Linked DNA regions of Mus musculus. The protein of the gene in region 2 interacts with the protein of the main gene of each other region in a biochemical or structural test. Links are inferred from orthologs where the notes say so. Each region holds a gene or a part of one and is shown on either strand. Other genes may lie near its edges.

Region 1 (7,186 bases), on a different chromosome or scaffold from region 2:
AGAAGTGGGAGCCACCACACAAAACCTGGAGCGTTTTTTTTTTGTTTTGTTTTGTTTTCTTGGTTTTTGTTTTGTTTTGTTTTTTTAAGTGACACAGTCCACTCCTAACTCCAGCTTTCCCTCTGCCCTGGAACTAGCTAACCATTTTGGGTCACTTTCAAAGTCTATCCTTTAAGGCAGTGATAATACTGGACTAGAAGCCAGGCAAGCCCACTATAGCAGATCAGGGAGCCGAACCAGCAAGTGAATCCAAGTGACCATCGAAAAATATGAAAAAAATTACTTTTTTTTTTCCATTTTAAAAACAGGATGCGGGCTGGTGAGATGGCTCAGTGGGTAAGAGCACCCGACTGCTCTTCCAAAGGTCTGGAGTTCAAATCCCAGCAACCACATGGTGGCTAACAACCATCTGTAACGAGATCTGACTCCCTCTTCTGGAGTGTCTGAAGACAGCTACAGTGTACTTACATACAATAAATAAATAAATCTTTAAAAAAAAAAAAAAAAAAAAAACAGGATGCTAAATCTTGGGAGGGAGCTTTAACAGTGAAGTCTAAAGAAGGTACAGGGTATAGTTTTTTGTTTGTTTTAAACATTTATTTATTTTTACTATATGTAAGTACACTGTAGTTGTTTTCAGACACTCCAGAAGAGGGAGTCAGATCTCATTACGGATGGTTGTGAGCCACCATGTGGTTGCTGGGATTTGAACTTTGGACCTTCAGAAGAGCAGTTGGGTGCTCTTACCAACTGAGCCATCTCACCAGCCCCAGGGTATAGTTTTGAAAGATACCTTTCAAGGCTTTTTTTTTTTTTTTTTTTTTTGGTAGAGAACATTTTGGTAAATTAAGACTGTTGTTACAGTCAAATTTGTATGTTAAAACAGACCCCTCCAAACACACACACACACATACACTGGCATCTCCTGGGTATATTTGCTTCCCAAATGCTGATATAAAAGAACAGCTTTGCCCAGGAATTAGGAGTCAATTTACCCTTAATAACAGGTTCTACCTAGAAGAAATTACACAAATTTGTAGTCACAGAACAGCACCCCCCCAAAACAAATTCAGTATGTTGATCAATTATATTTGTGAAAATATCAAGTAGATGGGCCACACAGCAAAGCTGTATAGTAGGGAAATTATAGATTTCAGGTGATGTTACAGCCATCTTAGCTTTAGGGTGAATGAAGCTAAACTGAATGATGTCTCTCGAGAAATTTATTAGGAGAATGTTGGAAGTTAGAGTAAATGGCTATTTAAAGTCTAAAGCAAGGCCACCTTAGAAGGCTCAGAAGGTAAAAGCATGTGTGCACGCACTCACAGACACACACACACACTAGTTTTTAAAGAGGCCTAAAATAGTTCCAGATCCTTTGCCTACATTTGATGTCTCCACAATTGCGATGTTGTAGTCAGCCAGTCTGCAGGATCTTTATTGTAGATGCTCTTCAGAAAACTTCAGTTCCCACAGCAAGTCGGGCACATGGCACCAGATCTGTCCTTGCTATCTCAAGCTCCATAGCAGCCTGGATCACCTGGATCACCTAAACTCAAAGGCAATCACTGGGGATTGAGTGCAACCACCTGTGGAAGGTTTTTCTAGAACAGATTTGCAATTTGGAAAGTTGCCATCCATTCAGGTTTCACTCAAACTGGTTCCTTCCCTTCCTCACACCCCGGAACAGATTGTAGCCAGGAACTCTGCCCTTTGTCAGGAGACAACTGCAGTACAAACTTACAATCTTGTCGTTTTCCCTCAGCCAACCACTTCCAGTTCTATCTAGCTACCTTTTTTCTTTAACCTAAGAACCTGAGATGCAACCCCCCCGCACATTTTTCAAGAAGGCTCCATTTTTTTCTCGTGTTCCATTTCGTCGTTTGTCAACCCAGGTTATAAGGGACTCTGGTTGTCATGCCTTTGCAATCACCTGCCAGTGAGTGAAATGTCCCTTCCTAAGGTTCCCCCTCCTCCCGCACTAGAAGTTAGGGATCTTCATGCGCTTCGACTCTCATTAAATTTTAAAAGAAGTTCCAAGCTTCTGAAGTTTAATATAAACCCAGTTGAAAATGCCACTTAAAACTTCGTGCAAGTGTATGTTGTACATCACTCAACTAACAAATCGAAGCCTCCTGGCTCGGCCGTGCAGTGGTTAAGTCAGTCGGTGATGGGTTCACCTGATTCACACCCACACACGAGCAGGCCTCTCCGCCAGGTCCTGCGGCCTCAGAGACACCAGCGTCTCCCCGGGGCTTGAGAGCACCCACAAAGGCACTAGCCCCGAGGCGACCTCAAGTCCTGCCCTCGAGAGAGAGGGTTTAGATGCTCCACGCCCGCAGGTTCACACCCCAGAACCGCGGGCTCCAGCTCCGGGGCCTCAGCAACGGGAGGCCGCCCCGCTGACGTCATCGTCCCGCCCCCCCTCCCCCAGCTCGCGCCTCCGTTCCCTCCCCGCCCCCTTTCCCGGCGTCCGCCGCGACACAAGCTCCTCGCCCTCTGATTTTGCTTCTCCCTTCAAGATGGCGGACACAATGAGCCGGCGGAGCGCCGGTTGGCCCTGAATTGACTCCGGAGAAGAACGGTCAGCGAGGTCCCGTCGTCCGGGCGAGAGAGCGTCGCCTGAGGAAGAGGACGCGGCAGCCCCACTGTCAGCCGTCCTTCGGTTCGTCTCCAGCGCGGCGCCCGCACCGCCGGGGTTGGCCCTGAGCAGCCCGCCCGATCGCTCGCCTCTCGGCCCCGCCCCGGCCCTGCGCCGCCGCTGCCTTCAGCAGCAGCAGCCGCCGCCGCCATGAAGCTGACCGACAGCGTGCTCCGGAGCTTCCGCGTCGCCAAGGTGTTCCGCGAGAACTCAGACAAGATCAACTGCTTTGACTTTAGTCCCAATGGCGAGACGGTCATCTCTAGCAGCGATGATGACTCCATCGTGCTCTATGACTGCCAGGAGGGCAAGTGAGTGTGATAGTGGCCGAGTTCCAAGTGCCCCTCTCCTTCCCTCTGTCGCTGGTCCCCGACTGAGCCCCCACCCCCAACCCCAGGCATGTGGTGCAGGCGCTCTTGCCAGGGCCACCTCCATCCCGCAGTGCTGCAGGAGATCCTCTTTAAGATGATGATGGTTCTTAGTTCATGTGTCTTTGCTCTCTTCCGAGCGCGCTTTTCCCGCTTGCCAAACCCCACCTTGACCTTGACCTTTAAACGCCATGTCCCTGCACCCTGCAGCCGGACGGATAGCCCTTTCCACTCCCCTGGCGACTGTCAGAATGTGCGGGTGGACTCTGAGCTCGATGCAGAACGGCAGGAGCTGTGTTCTGTCCATCAGTGGCGTCCAGCTCTCTGCCTTCACAGCAGTGACCTGGATTCAGCCCTGGCACGGTGCCCGCCCCCTACCCCTCAGCTTCCCGCGCGGCTTTTCTGCAATCAAGCCCCGCGGGATGCAGTTTTTAAGCTGTCAGGATTTATCGATTGTGCCCATGTGAGCTTGCTGTCCTTTCCCAGTACCAATACCCAGGCTTACAGTTAACTTACTAAACAGACTCTTGGAAACTTTTCTTTGCCAGACTCCTGAGAACTTGGCCGCCCCATTCTGGTCAGAATGTGAGCTCTCTTTAAAACAAAGAAAGCATTCCGGAACAATTTAGTGTTTCCTTTTGCATTACAAAAAAAACCCAAGTTTGGCCGCTTAGCCAGTAATCTCAGCATTTGGGCGATAGAGGCAGTCAGACCCTGAGTTCTGGACTTCATAGCAGAGAGACCCTGACTCAAAACAGTTAAAAAACAAAAAACAATAACCGCCAGATTGTGGTTTGCTTATAGTTATCAAAGTTTTGGAATTCTGGAACTGGTTATGGAAATTATGTTAGTTGGAGAACTTGTGTATCTTTGCCGTTTTCATAGCCTGGGTGTGAGGAAGACATTGCCTGTCTCATCTCTGGAAGTTCAAATCCTCGATAAGTAAGCAGTGACCTCTTTTGTAGCAGAAACTAGTTTAGGCTAAATTTGATTCCCTTTGTCAACTTCAGCTTCCTTCCTAAGCAGGAGGTGTTTAGTTTAATAGCTACTGTTTTCGACATTATGTTAAAGTTACCTGTTTTTGAATCCTTGGCTTTTTCTCTCCTTTTTGCAGCTGTTCTCTTTGTTTATTATTTTTTTCAAATAATAGTTTTCTTTTGGAACTTGTCTCTGAGTTTATCTAAAGTAAAGCTATTGTAGAATGAGCTGTATATGATATTGTCCTTGATGGGTTTCCTCGCTGGAGCTCCAACAAAGTATTACGTAACTGTCGTTGGACTTGAGCTTGCTGTATGTGGGAGAGTTTCCTACAGTGGTGATCCTGGGGAAGAGAAAATTACTAACTGGACAAATAGTTATTTGAATTGATGTTCATATTTGTGTATTGATTATTATCATACACTGGTCTGACTATTTGATTCTGTTTGGAACTACAAGTAATTTGAAATTGGTTTGTCTGACATGTTTGGTGCAATACATAGCTTAGAATCTCCCCCCCAAATCTGTAATGGAAATGCATATCCTATTCAAAGGAATAAAACACTAAGACTGAAAAAAATGTTTATTCAGGCATGTAACCTTTTTACATGATTACAAACTTACAGAAAGTTACAATGCTCCAAAGAACTTTCTTGAAAAAAGAACGTGTCCAGCAGTGCCTATAATTTCAGCGCTTGGGAGCTGGGGGTGCGAATCCAAGGCAGCTTGAACAGCTGTCCCAAAAAGGAAATGTAAGGGCTGGAGATGGCTACAGGCACTTGCTCTTAGAGAGGAACAAGTGGACTCCTACACCTTGTAACCATCTGTAACTAGTTCCAGGGGATTTGACCCCTAATTCTGATTTCTTGAGAGATGGCTCAGCTGTTAAGAGCACCTCTTCCACAGGTCCTGAGTTCAATTCCCAGCAACCACATGGTGGCTCACAACCATCTATAATGGGATCCAATGCCCTCTTCTGGTGTGTCTGAAGTCAGCTACAAGGGTACTCCTATAAATAACATAAAGAAGTCTTCATAAAGAGAGAAGTTTGTGGGGGGAAAAAAGTCCAGGAGCTAGAGAGATGGCTAACATGTGGTTAAGAGCGCATGTTAATTTTGCAGAGAACCTAGGTTAATCAGCAGCACCCACGTGGAGGCTCACAATTACATTTAACTCCAGTTGCAGGGGATCTGATGTTCTCTTCTGGATTCCATGTGCATCAGACCTGCATAGGGTGCCCATATATACAAGCAAGCAGACAAAATGCTCATATACATAAAATCAGTAAATGTAAAAATATATATGTATAGAAGAATAATCCAATAATTCCAACAGTAGAAGAAAATAACTGTTTCTTTGGAAGTAACATCTTTATTAGATAATACCAGTAGTAGAATTTGGGTATTTGAAAATAGCTAAAACACAGCTGATTTTTGTTTGTTGTTTTTAAGATACTACACCCCACAGTGGAACTTTGTCTGTAGCTATAGTGCTGGTTGGCTTCCAACAGCAATCCTCTGGCCTCAGTCTTGGCTTAAAAGGATTTTTTTTTTTTTATTGAAAGTAGTTTTTCATGCACACGTTCTCTGTGTACGTTTTAGCTGTGTGTGAGCTTGCTGTGCATGTATAGGTAGAAGACAGCGTGCAGGATTGGCTGCTTTCCTCCCTTCCTGGGAGCCCAGGGGGTGAACTGTGATTATTGAGCTTGGCGGCAAGTGCCCTTAGCCTCCATCTAACCAGCTCACCTGCCCAGGAAGAGGTTGTGAAGGGCTTTGGTTTTGTTTGTCCATTAAATGTTAGAATGTGGCTCATCCCTTCCTTCGACTTGAAGGAATATATAGGGGGTATTGCTTTTGATTGGTAAAATATTTCAAATTTTTTCTGTCTATGAACACACACACACACACACACACACACACACGTGCACATGCGCACATATGTTTAGTTTGCCTTAAGACAGTAGTCTCATGTAGTCCAGGCTAACTCTTATGTGTCCAAGGTTGGCCTTGAACTCCTGATCCCAAGTGCTGGATTATACACATGTATCCCACCACCAGCAGCTGGCTTTACTATTATTTTCTTTATTCATATCTGCCTCCAGAATCATAGTTTTAAAGAAGCTTGCCAAAATACTTGGAAAGTTCACATAAAAAAATATATCCATTGTTGATGTCAGACTCTTACTTTCAAAGTAAAACTGAATTAGTTTTCATTAAGACACATCTGTTAATGCTTTTTTGTTTTGCTTGGATTTTTTTTTTGGATGTAAGACATACAGACCATATCTTAATGGAACCCAGGTTTTTTTTAATACCACATGCTTTAGTGTACTGTTTACTTGAAGGGTTGAAGATAGAGTCCAGGGCTCCATGCATGCTAGCAAGCCTTCTGTGACTAAGTCATATCCCAGCCCTGTCTTCTACTGTAAATGGGCTGAAATACTAGGATTCGCTTTTACCACTGATAGATGCAAAGTCAGCATGCTCAGCCTCACTCAGTCAGTACTTACCTAGTACTAACCTCAGAGCTTCAGACAGTAGACTGGACCTAGTACTCAGTAAGTACTTACTAAGTACTGACTGCAGAGCAGAGCTTCAGAAAGTAGACTGGACCTGATGGTATTTGATTTCACAAACGGCAGGCATATAGAAAGTATAGTACAATAAAGAACTCTTGTTCAGAATAGGTTTCATGAAGCAGAAGGCCTCACCCTCTCTGACCTTAACAATTGAAAGTACAGAAATTGACTTGTAGGCAGCCTGGATCATCTGATTGCTCGACCAAAATAATATGGTTCCAAAATAATATGACATTGAGAAGATAAACATTCTTTTGCATAAATTCAAACCCTTGGTGACTAGTAGTACACTAGTCAATCTTTTACTACAATATTCCTGGGAGGGACACTTTGTGACAGGGTCTCACAGGGTCTCATTCTGTAGTTGGGACTAGCCTTGAATTTGTAGTGGTCCTCCTGCCATAGCCTTTAGAGTTCTGACTGGAATTACAGATGTGAGCCACCATGTCTAGCTTAAAATTCTTCTAAAATATAAATGTATAAAACACTTTAAAAGATTTTCTTATTTTCTGGCCTGGTTCAAATGGAGCACTCTGTCGTTCCAATTTTGTTTTCTAAAGCTGGGCATGGCTGCCTGCCTCCGCCTCCCAGCACTCAGGGAGCAGATACAGGCAGATAGCT
Region 2 (7,331 bases):
TACCACATCACAACAGCCTTCCAAAGCCTGTCCACCCCGGCAAGTGTGTGATAGTGCTCATGGACCAGGCTGGCAGGCAGCTATGGCCTCCACGGCAATCATGGTACCTGTGGGACTAGTGTTTATGGCCTTTGCCCTACATTTCTACCGATCCTTGGTTGCCCACAAGACAGACCGCCACAAGCAGGAGCTGGAGGAGCTCAGTCGCCTGCAGGGGGAGCTGCAGGCTGTGTAAGCCTGGCTTTAGACTGTTGCAAGCATTGCCTCAGAAACCCCAGGGATCGACAGACCTCCTTCCTTGCCCTAGGCTGGAGCCACCTCCTGTAAGCTCTGAGGTAGAGGCCAAGTACCTGCCCAGCAGCATCCCACACTCCCAGGGATGATCCCTGTCATCATGTTCTGGTGGGTTTTGTAAATTCTGCTCTGCTTGGGGAACTGTTTCAGCCTAAGGATCCTGGGTTAAATGAGAGGAAAGAGGCCCGCCTGCCTTAGTGAGATCCCTGGTGGTGCTGAGCAGTTGTTTGCTCCTCCAGGAAGGTGACATGTCTGCACAACTGTCCTCAAGGCAATCAGCCCTTGCTTATCTGTATAATCTGCTTTGCAGTTGGCATCCTGGGAGAGATTTTACAGGGCTCCTCAGATGAGCCACTTCACCCTTGGTGACTTGTGGTGGTCGTTCCACTGCCCTAGGCACTGACTGTCTGGCCAGAACTGGGAGAGGAGGAAGTATTGACGAGTGGGAGATTGTGCAGCTACTTGACAAGGGTTGGTGAGTTGGTAAGGGAGAAGATTCAGCCCTTAGAATGCAGAACTCTTCTTCAGACACTGATTTTTTTTCTTTTGTTTTGTTTTTCAAGCCAGAGTTTCACTATGTCTGTTGCTCTGGCTGTCCTGGAACACTCTCTGTAGACCAGGCTGGCCTTGAGCTCAGAGATGTACCTGCCTCTGCCTCCCATGTACAGGGATTAAAGGCATGCACCACCACCACCTGACACTGAGTTTTTGATGCACCTTGTTTTGTAAATAAAGTGTGTCTCACATATGTTCCTATGGCTATGAATGGGATGAAGGTGAAACCTTGGGTATGGTTCTTTGTTCCTAAGGGCCAGATGGAGGTAATATGCTTGATAGATGGTATGAGTCCATCAGGTGCTGACAAGATCTGATAAACTTCTGAATGTGGTAAACAGTTATTCCCAGACTAAGGCCTCTGAACTCTTGTTCCTAAACTTGGGATTTGTGTAAGCTTCTTTCTTGAATGATCCCTTCATCTTATGGGACGATTCCTAAGTTCTCTCAGTTACTCATCACAGACATTTCAATAAACAAGTTTTATATTTCCCATTTTTAAGAGGCAGCTGAGGCCAAGAGGCTAATCTGGCCCTAAGCCACAGAGTTAGTCCATGACCTCAATTACCTTTACTATGGTCAAGGGATTTCTGGGAGAGAGAGGAAGGAAATTGGTACCCTTCGATTGGGATAAATCAAAGGGACCTCAGCTCCTGTACCTTCATGTGCATCTTTTCCTCAGCCTCAGAACTTGAGAGTATAAATCCTACCGTCTAGTCGTGATAGACCTTGTACAGACTCATTTTCTTTTATTACTTGAAATGGTCAGTTAAAATGTGTAAAACCAGGCTCCAATTTTTCCTACCACTGTTATGATGGTTACAGTCAGTCTTTTGTGACAGATAGCCATCCATTCTGGAGGTATAACCTGAAACTAAGGAAAGTCAAAGGCTTGCCCAGCAGCCTATAATGAGAGGCTCTTGTAGAGGGCCACTTAAGGCATCTTCAGCTCAGAAGCCTTGGCAAGAGTGCAGTTCTTCCAGAGACCAGAGAGCCTGTATTCATTCGCTGGATGAAAAGGGTGTTGAACCTTGGGACGATCTCAGTTTTGGGTTCCCAAGTGAAGCTTGAACGAGGTCTGTCCTTAAGTTTCGCAGCGGGATCCTATGAGCATAGGTAGCCCTTGCCTAAAAACTGCTCAAGAATAACCGGGTTACATCAGACCTTTACTTTTTATAGGATCTACTTAAGGGTCTTTATGTTTCTTTTAAGCTCAACAGAACCCTGATTTTAACCACTGAACATTTTTTTTTTTTTTTTTTTTTTTTTTTTTTTTGAGACAGGGTTTCTCTGTGTAGCTCTGGCTGTCCTGGAACTCACTCTGTAGACCAGGCTGGCCTCCAACTCAGAAATCCACCTGCCTCAGCCTCCCAGGTCCTGGGATTAAAGACGTGTACCACCACTGCTCGGCTCAGAAGGAACATTTTAAAACTAGCCCAAGGGAGGTGTAACTAGGGTACTGGCCTAACACGCAGAAAGCCCTGAGTTAGATCTCCCAGCATGCTATAAACCGGTTATGGTGTGCACACCTGTAATTCCGGTACTCAGGAAATAGAGGCAAAAGGATCTGGAGTTCGAGGCCATCCTCCGTTATATAGCAAGTTCGATGTCATGCTGTCTGAAAAACAACAGGAGCCCGAATATAAAAGCGGGAAGGAACCGATCATTTCACTCTGTGCGTCGGTAGGCAAAGCGCCTGAGTCACCCCTCCTGGTTGTATTTTTCCACCTCCCACCCCTCCCAGGTTTTGGTGGATTCTAAGGGAAGCAGCCCGTTACGCCGGGCTCCGCACGCCTGGCCACGCCTCTCTCGTTAGCCCCGCCCACAACCGGATCGGCAGATTCGCTACCCGACTCCTTAGGATTATTTGGGCAGCTTTTCTTGTCTGAAAATTTTCAGGAAACGCCGAGAAGACTTCTTCCTTGTAACCATTTCGCACTAAGTAGGAAGTGTGCTGTTCCTTGAGTCGTTCTACTGAAAAAAAAAAAAATCCAGGACTAGAGGTCGACTCTGCCAACAGGGCTTGGCGAGCCAGGCGTCATTTTCTTGACTCTACAGCAGGTGAGAAGAGGTGACGGCCAAAGCCCAGGACGGTGGCGAATCTGCACTGCAGCCTCATAGGCATTCGGGCTGCGCAAGGAAGGGGCAGGGAAGAGGAGCCGAGGAGCGCGCATCCTGTCCACTCATTCGCCCCGCCCGCCTCGCGAATCTGCGTCGTTGGACGCGCCACTCAAATCTCCCGAGCTCTGGCTGGCGTCCTCCCCCTCGCTCCGCCCCCTTCCCTCAGGGGCTCGTCGCAGCTTTCGTCGCCGCCGATTCGCCAGGAACCCCAAGGCCGGAGCAGCTGGATCAGGGTGGTGCGGTCCACTCTCCGGGGAATGCGGCCCATCTTCAGGCTCCCTGGGCTACAACTCCCGAGCCTCGCAGGGCGCCGGCCGAGGCAAGGCCGCTACCCTCGGCCCCGTGGATCGCTCCGCAGTCCTTGTAGCGAAAGTGCGGATGCAGACGCTGTGCCCGCTGGGCCTCGCGCAGGTGGCGGTGGTGTTTGGTGCGCGCGCCGGGGAGGTGGTGGTGGGGGGGCGCCGCCGCCGCCACCGCTGCGGGGCCGGGTCTCGCGCTGCCGCCGCCGCCGCCGCCGCCTCACGCCGCTGAGGTGCTGCGCGCGGTGGGGGGAGGGTGAGCCGCTCGCCACGAGCGGGTGAGTAGGGCCCCGGCGCGCGTGCGCGCCGACGGGGTGGGGGGGGTGGACGACACCGAACGCGCCCGGGCGGGAGGAGAGGGCAGCGGCGCGCGTTACCTCCCCCCACCCCCCCGCCTGGATTCAGGGACCGAAGCTGGGTCTCAGATTCGGTCTCGCGGTGTTTCCAACGCCCCGAAGAGGTGCCACCTCTGGTTCGGAGGATCGGGGCGCGGGGACGCGAGCGGCTGTGTGGGAGCGGGAGCGGGGCTCGGCCCGGGCCGCTTGGCCGGTGAGGAGGCGGGAGGGGGCGGGGCCTGCGAGGGGACGGGGGAGGGGTCTTGCGTGGAGGCCAAGTGGGGCGCGCTGGGGAGAGCGGGAAGGTAAGGGGGCGCGAGATGGGCCTGGGCCCTGAGGGTAGAATTGGGGATGGAGAGGAATGGAGTGCCATAGTGAGCCCAGCTCCTCAGGGCAAGATCTGAGGGAGCCACGGGTCATGCTGAGGTGTCGGGGACTGGACTGATGTGAGACCCTGGAATCGGGGCTAGACATTGAGGGGACAGCAAGGGAGTCAGGCCTAAGTCGTGGACTCCCATTCCGTATCCCTCTTTTCCTGACAGTGTAAATGAGCAAAGATGGACCAGGAAGGTGGGGGAGACGGGCAGAAAGCCCCGAGCTTCCAGTGGCGGAACTACAAGCTCATAGTGGATCCTGCTTTGGACCCTGCTTTGCGCAGGCCTTCCCAGAAGGTGTACCGCTATGACGGAGTCCACTTCAGTGTCAGTGTGAGTGCCCTCGAGCCTTTCTTGACTTATTTGGACCTCCAATCTCCCCTCCCCGCTTCCCCCTGTTCAGTATTCAACACCCAGACTTCCTATACCTGTAGTTTGGTTTTTTGAGAATGAGCAAGCTCTCCCAGCTCTTCTGTATGTTGGCTTCTACATGGGCTTTATAGAGTCAGTAGGCTGGTGAATTTTCAGCCTGGTTTCATCTCTTCCTGCTTTCTTTGTTAGGACTCAAAGTATACCCCCGTGGAAGACCTCCAGGACCCCCGCTGTCATGTCAGGTCCAAAGCCAGAGACTTTTCCCTCCCGGTTCCTAAGTTTAAGGTGAGTGCCTGCTGGTCTCCCTGCATGTTGGTCCTTGGAGAGTGTCAAGGACCCTGGGCTTCACACAGTCTACCAAAGTGTTTATTCCGAAGGAACTATGACAGCCAGATCTCATTGCTTTTTGTGTCTGTGAGACTGAGATGTTTTGGACAGAAGGTATACATGTATAGCTGAGGTGACTCTAGTATATATCTGGTGACAAGGGTATTGATGTCTGGAAGGATGAGGTATGGGTGGGTATTCTGAAGCCTTGTGACAGTGGGATAGCCAAGTTATTCAGCAATTAAGGATGCTGCTAAGACCACTGTGCACTTGGAGTTGTGTGTTCTTGCTGTCATTGTGTGTGCTCCTCTGTCCTGTCTGTACGAGCAGCTTGCTTCCCTACTGTAATAAGATATTCTTCAAACTTCGGACTGTCTCGAAAATTGGTAGTTCTTTGTCTCCTCCTAATTTTGTTTTTGTTTTCTTTTACTGATTATTGGTAAAGTAAGTTGTGCAGTGGCTTCACCCTTCTGAATCCCCCCTTTCTTGAGCAGCTTTACTGAAAGCTCTTCTGTCTGAATGTTTATGTCTCATACCTCCTTCCTGCCAGCATCTACTGAGACACTAAAACATCATCTTTCTTCCCTGAGTCCTGCTCTCCTCACTTCCTCTTGACTGATGAATGGCAATACCAGGTACTCGGGTACCCAAGCTGGAAGCCTGGAGTCACCCAGTAGTTCTTTCCTTTCGTCTTAATCTTTAGGTTTCCATTGCCATGTTCTTCATGCAGAGTCCGATGTTTGCTCGCTTTCTGCAGCTTTCCTCAGTTTTAGGCTCCATCTTGCTGTTGTCACTGGTTTTAATGTTCTTATTTTAATTTTGTTTTCCAAGTCTGTTTTTCTTTTTTATTATATTATTTTTCATGTGTGTACATTCATAAATAAGCTTGCATGCCATTGTGCACATGTAGAAGTTAGAGCACAACTTGTGGGAATTGGTTTTCATCATGGGTCCTAGTGGTCAAACTCAAGGTTGTCAGGCTTGGTGACAAGTGTCTGTACCTACTGAGCCATATTGCTGGCATCCTAAGTCTGTTTTGAGGCATTGACATGTGTGGTTATTGATCTGGGCAGGCCTTATCACCTCTTTGACACCATATCCCTGTAATATTCCACCAGACACTTTTCAGTGTTTAGAAAATATCAAGATGGATAAATTTCATGTCTTGGAAGTTTGTTGTTTTGGTAAACTTTAAGCATCTACAGAGTCCAGAAAGAATGATAGCGGCTCCCCAATACCCTGTCTCTACATCTTTGCTACCACTGTGTTATATTTATATTTATATCTGGCTTATCTTTTTTTTTTTTTGAAACAAGTACTCCCTAGGTAGCCGCTGGCCTTGAACTAAGAATCCTGTGCTTCAGCCTCCCATGTGCTAGCATTGTAAGAGTGCACGGCACACTCGGCTCTGTCTTGTCTCTTTTCTGAATGGGAACTTTTCCTTTTTTTCTGTTTCTAGTAATTAGCTTATGCTAGTCTGTAACCCTGAACTAATAGATTACTTTCTTCTATTACTTTGTCCTATGTATGTTAATTCTTGTTTTGTGTGTTTTCTTCCCAGTTGTTGCTATATGTCATAAGAGGGCTTGAAAAACAGGTCACTGCTAATGTACCTCTCATGAGCCCCCTTGACGTCTCTGTCCCAGATTTGTCTTAATCTCATAGATGTCTCTGAAGTTTCCCAAATGGTAAGGAAACTGCTCACTATGGAAGCCCGAGACCAATTCTTGTCTTTCCACAGCTGGATGAGTTCTATATTGGACAGATACCACTGAAGGAAGTAACTTTTGCGAGGCTCAATGACAATGTGAGGGAAACCTTCCTGAAGGATATGTGCCGGAAATATGGAGAGGTGGAAGAAGTGGAGATCCTTCTTCATCCCCGCACTCGAAAGCACCTAGGCCTGGCCCGTGTGCTCTTCACCAGCACTCGGGGCGCCAAGGAAACTGTCAAAAACCTCCACCTCACCTCTGTCATGGGCAACATCATTCATGCCCAGCTTGATATCAAAGGTGAGGACTCGCTGCATGTTGCCTAAAGTTGGTTTCTAACAGGGATTCTATATGCTGATACTTAATTGGGCTCAGCCAAGTAATCAGGGTCATGATTACCAAAATTCCTGAAGTCACGTCTGTTTCAGAACTTATTAGATTTTAAATTTTAGAGATACATTTTGAGATTCATTTAGATATTTGTGTGTGTGTGTCTGTTTTGCCTGAATATATATCTGTGAACAGCATGTACGTCTTACACTCATGGAAGTCAAAAGAAGGCATCAGATTCCCCTGGAACTGGTTTAATGGTTGGGAGCCACCATGTGGGTGCTGGGAATTGAACTCCGGTTTTCTGGAAGAGCTACCAGACCACTTAACTGCTGAGTCATCTCTCCAGCTCAGGGAGGGTTTTTCTTTTTTGTTTGTTGGTTGTTTTAAACTTATACATATTTTGTGCTTTCTTCAGTAGCACATATGTTAACATTGAAACTTCAGGAAATTAAAGAACTAGAGTTTTAGGTCACGGCCTGCCAAAACCACAGATGTGTGAAGATAAAGATGAATTAGGCAGAGTCTCATTGTGGCACATGCCTATCATCCTTGTGCTTGGGAGGCAGAGGCAGGAGGACTTTGAGGCTAACCTGACTACACAGATGATTC

The links.
Region 1: the proteins of Setd1a (region 2) and Wdr82 form a complex in vitro, tested with the Homo sapiens proteins (2 studies listed by BioGRID). The link is inferred for Mus musculus from reciprocal best matches to the Homo sapiens genes SETD1A and WDR82.

Annotation. Positions count from the first base shown.
Region 1 is NC_000075.6:106,168,428-106,175,613, forward strand, and holds the start of Wdr82 (WD repeat-containing protein 82), read left to right. Parts: upstream 1-2,501; 5' UTR 2,502-2,791; coding exon 2,792-2,952; intron 2,953-7,186. UniProt on the Homo sapiens protein: Regulatory component of the SET1/COMPASS complex implicated in the tethering of this complex to transcriptional start sites of active genes.
Region 2 is NC_000073.6:127,773,967-127,781,297, forward strand, and holds the start of Setd1a (histone-lysine N-methyltransferase SETD1A), read left to right. Parts: upstream 1-3,422; 5' UTR 3,423-3,547; intron 3,548-4,146; 5' UTR 4,147-4,161; coding exon 4,162-4,311; intron 4,312-4,539; coding exon 4,540-4,635; intron 4,636-6,418; coding exon 6,419-6,689; intron 6,690-7,331. Other genes in the region: Orai3 (protein orai-3), read left to right, coding at 1-235. UniProt on the Homo sapiens protein: Histone methyltransferase that catalyzes methyl group transfer from S-adenosyl-L-methionine to the epsilon-amino group of 'Lys-4' of histone H3 (H3K4) via a non-processive mechanism.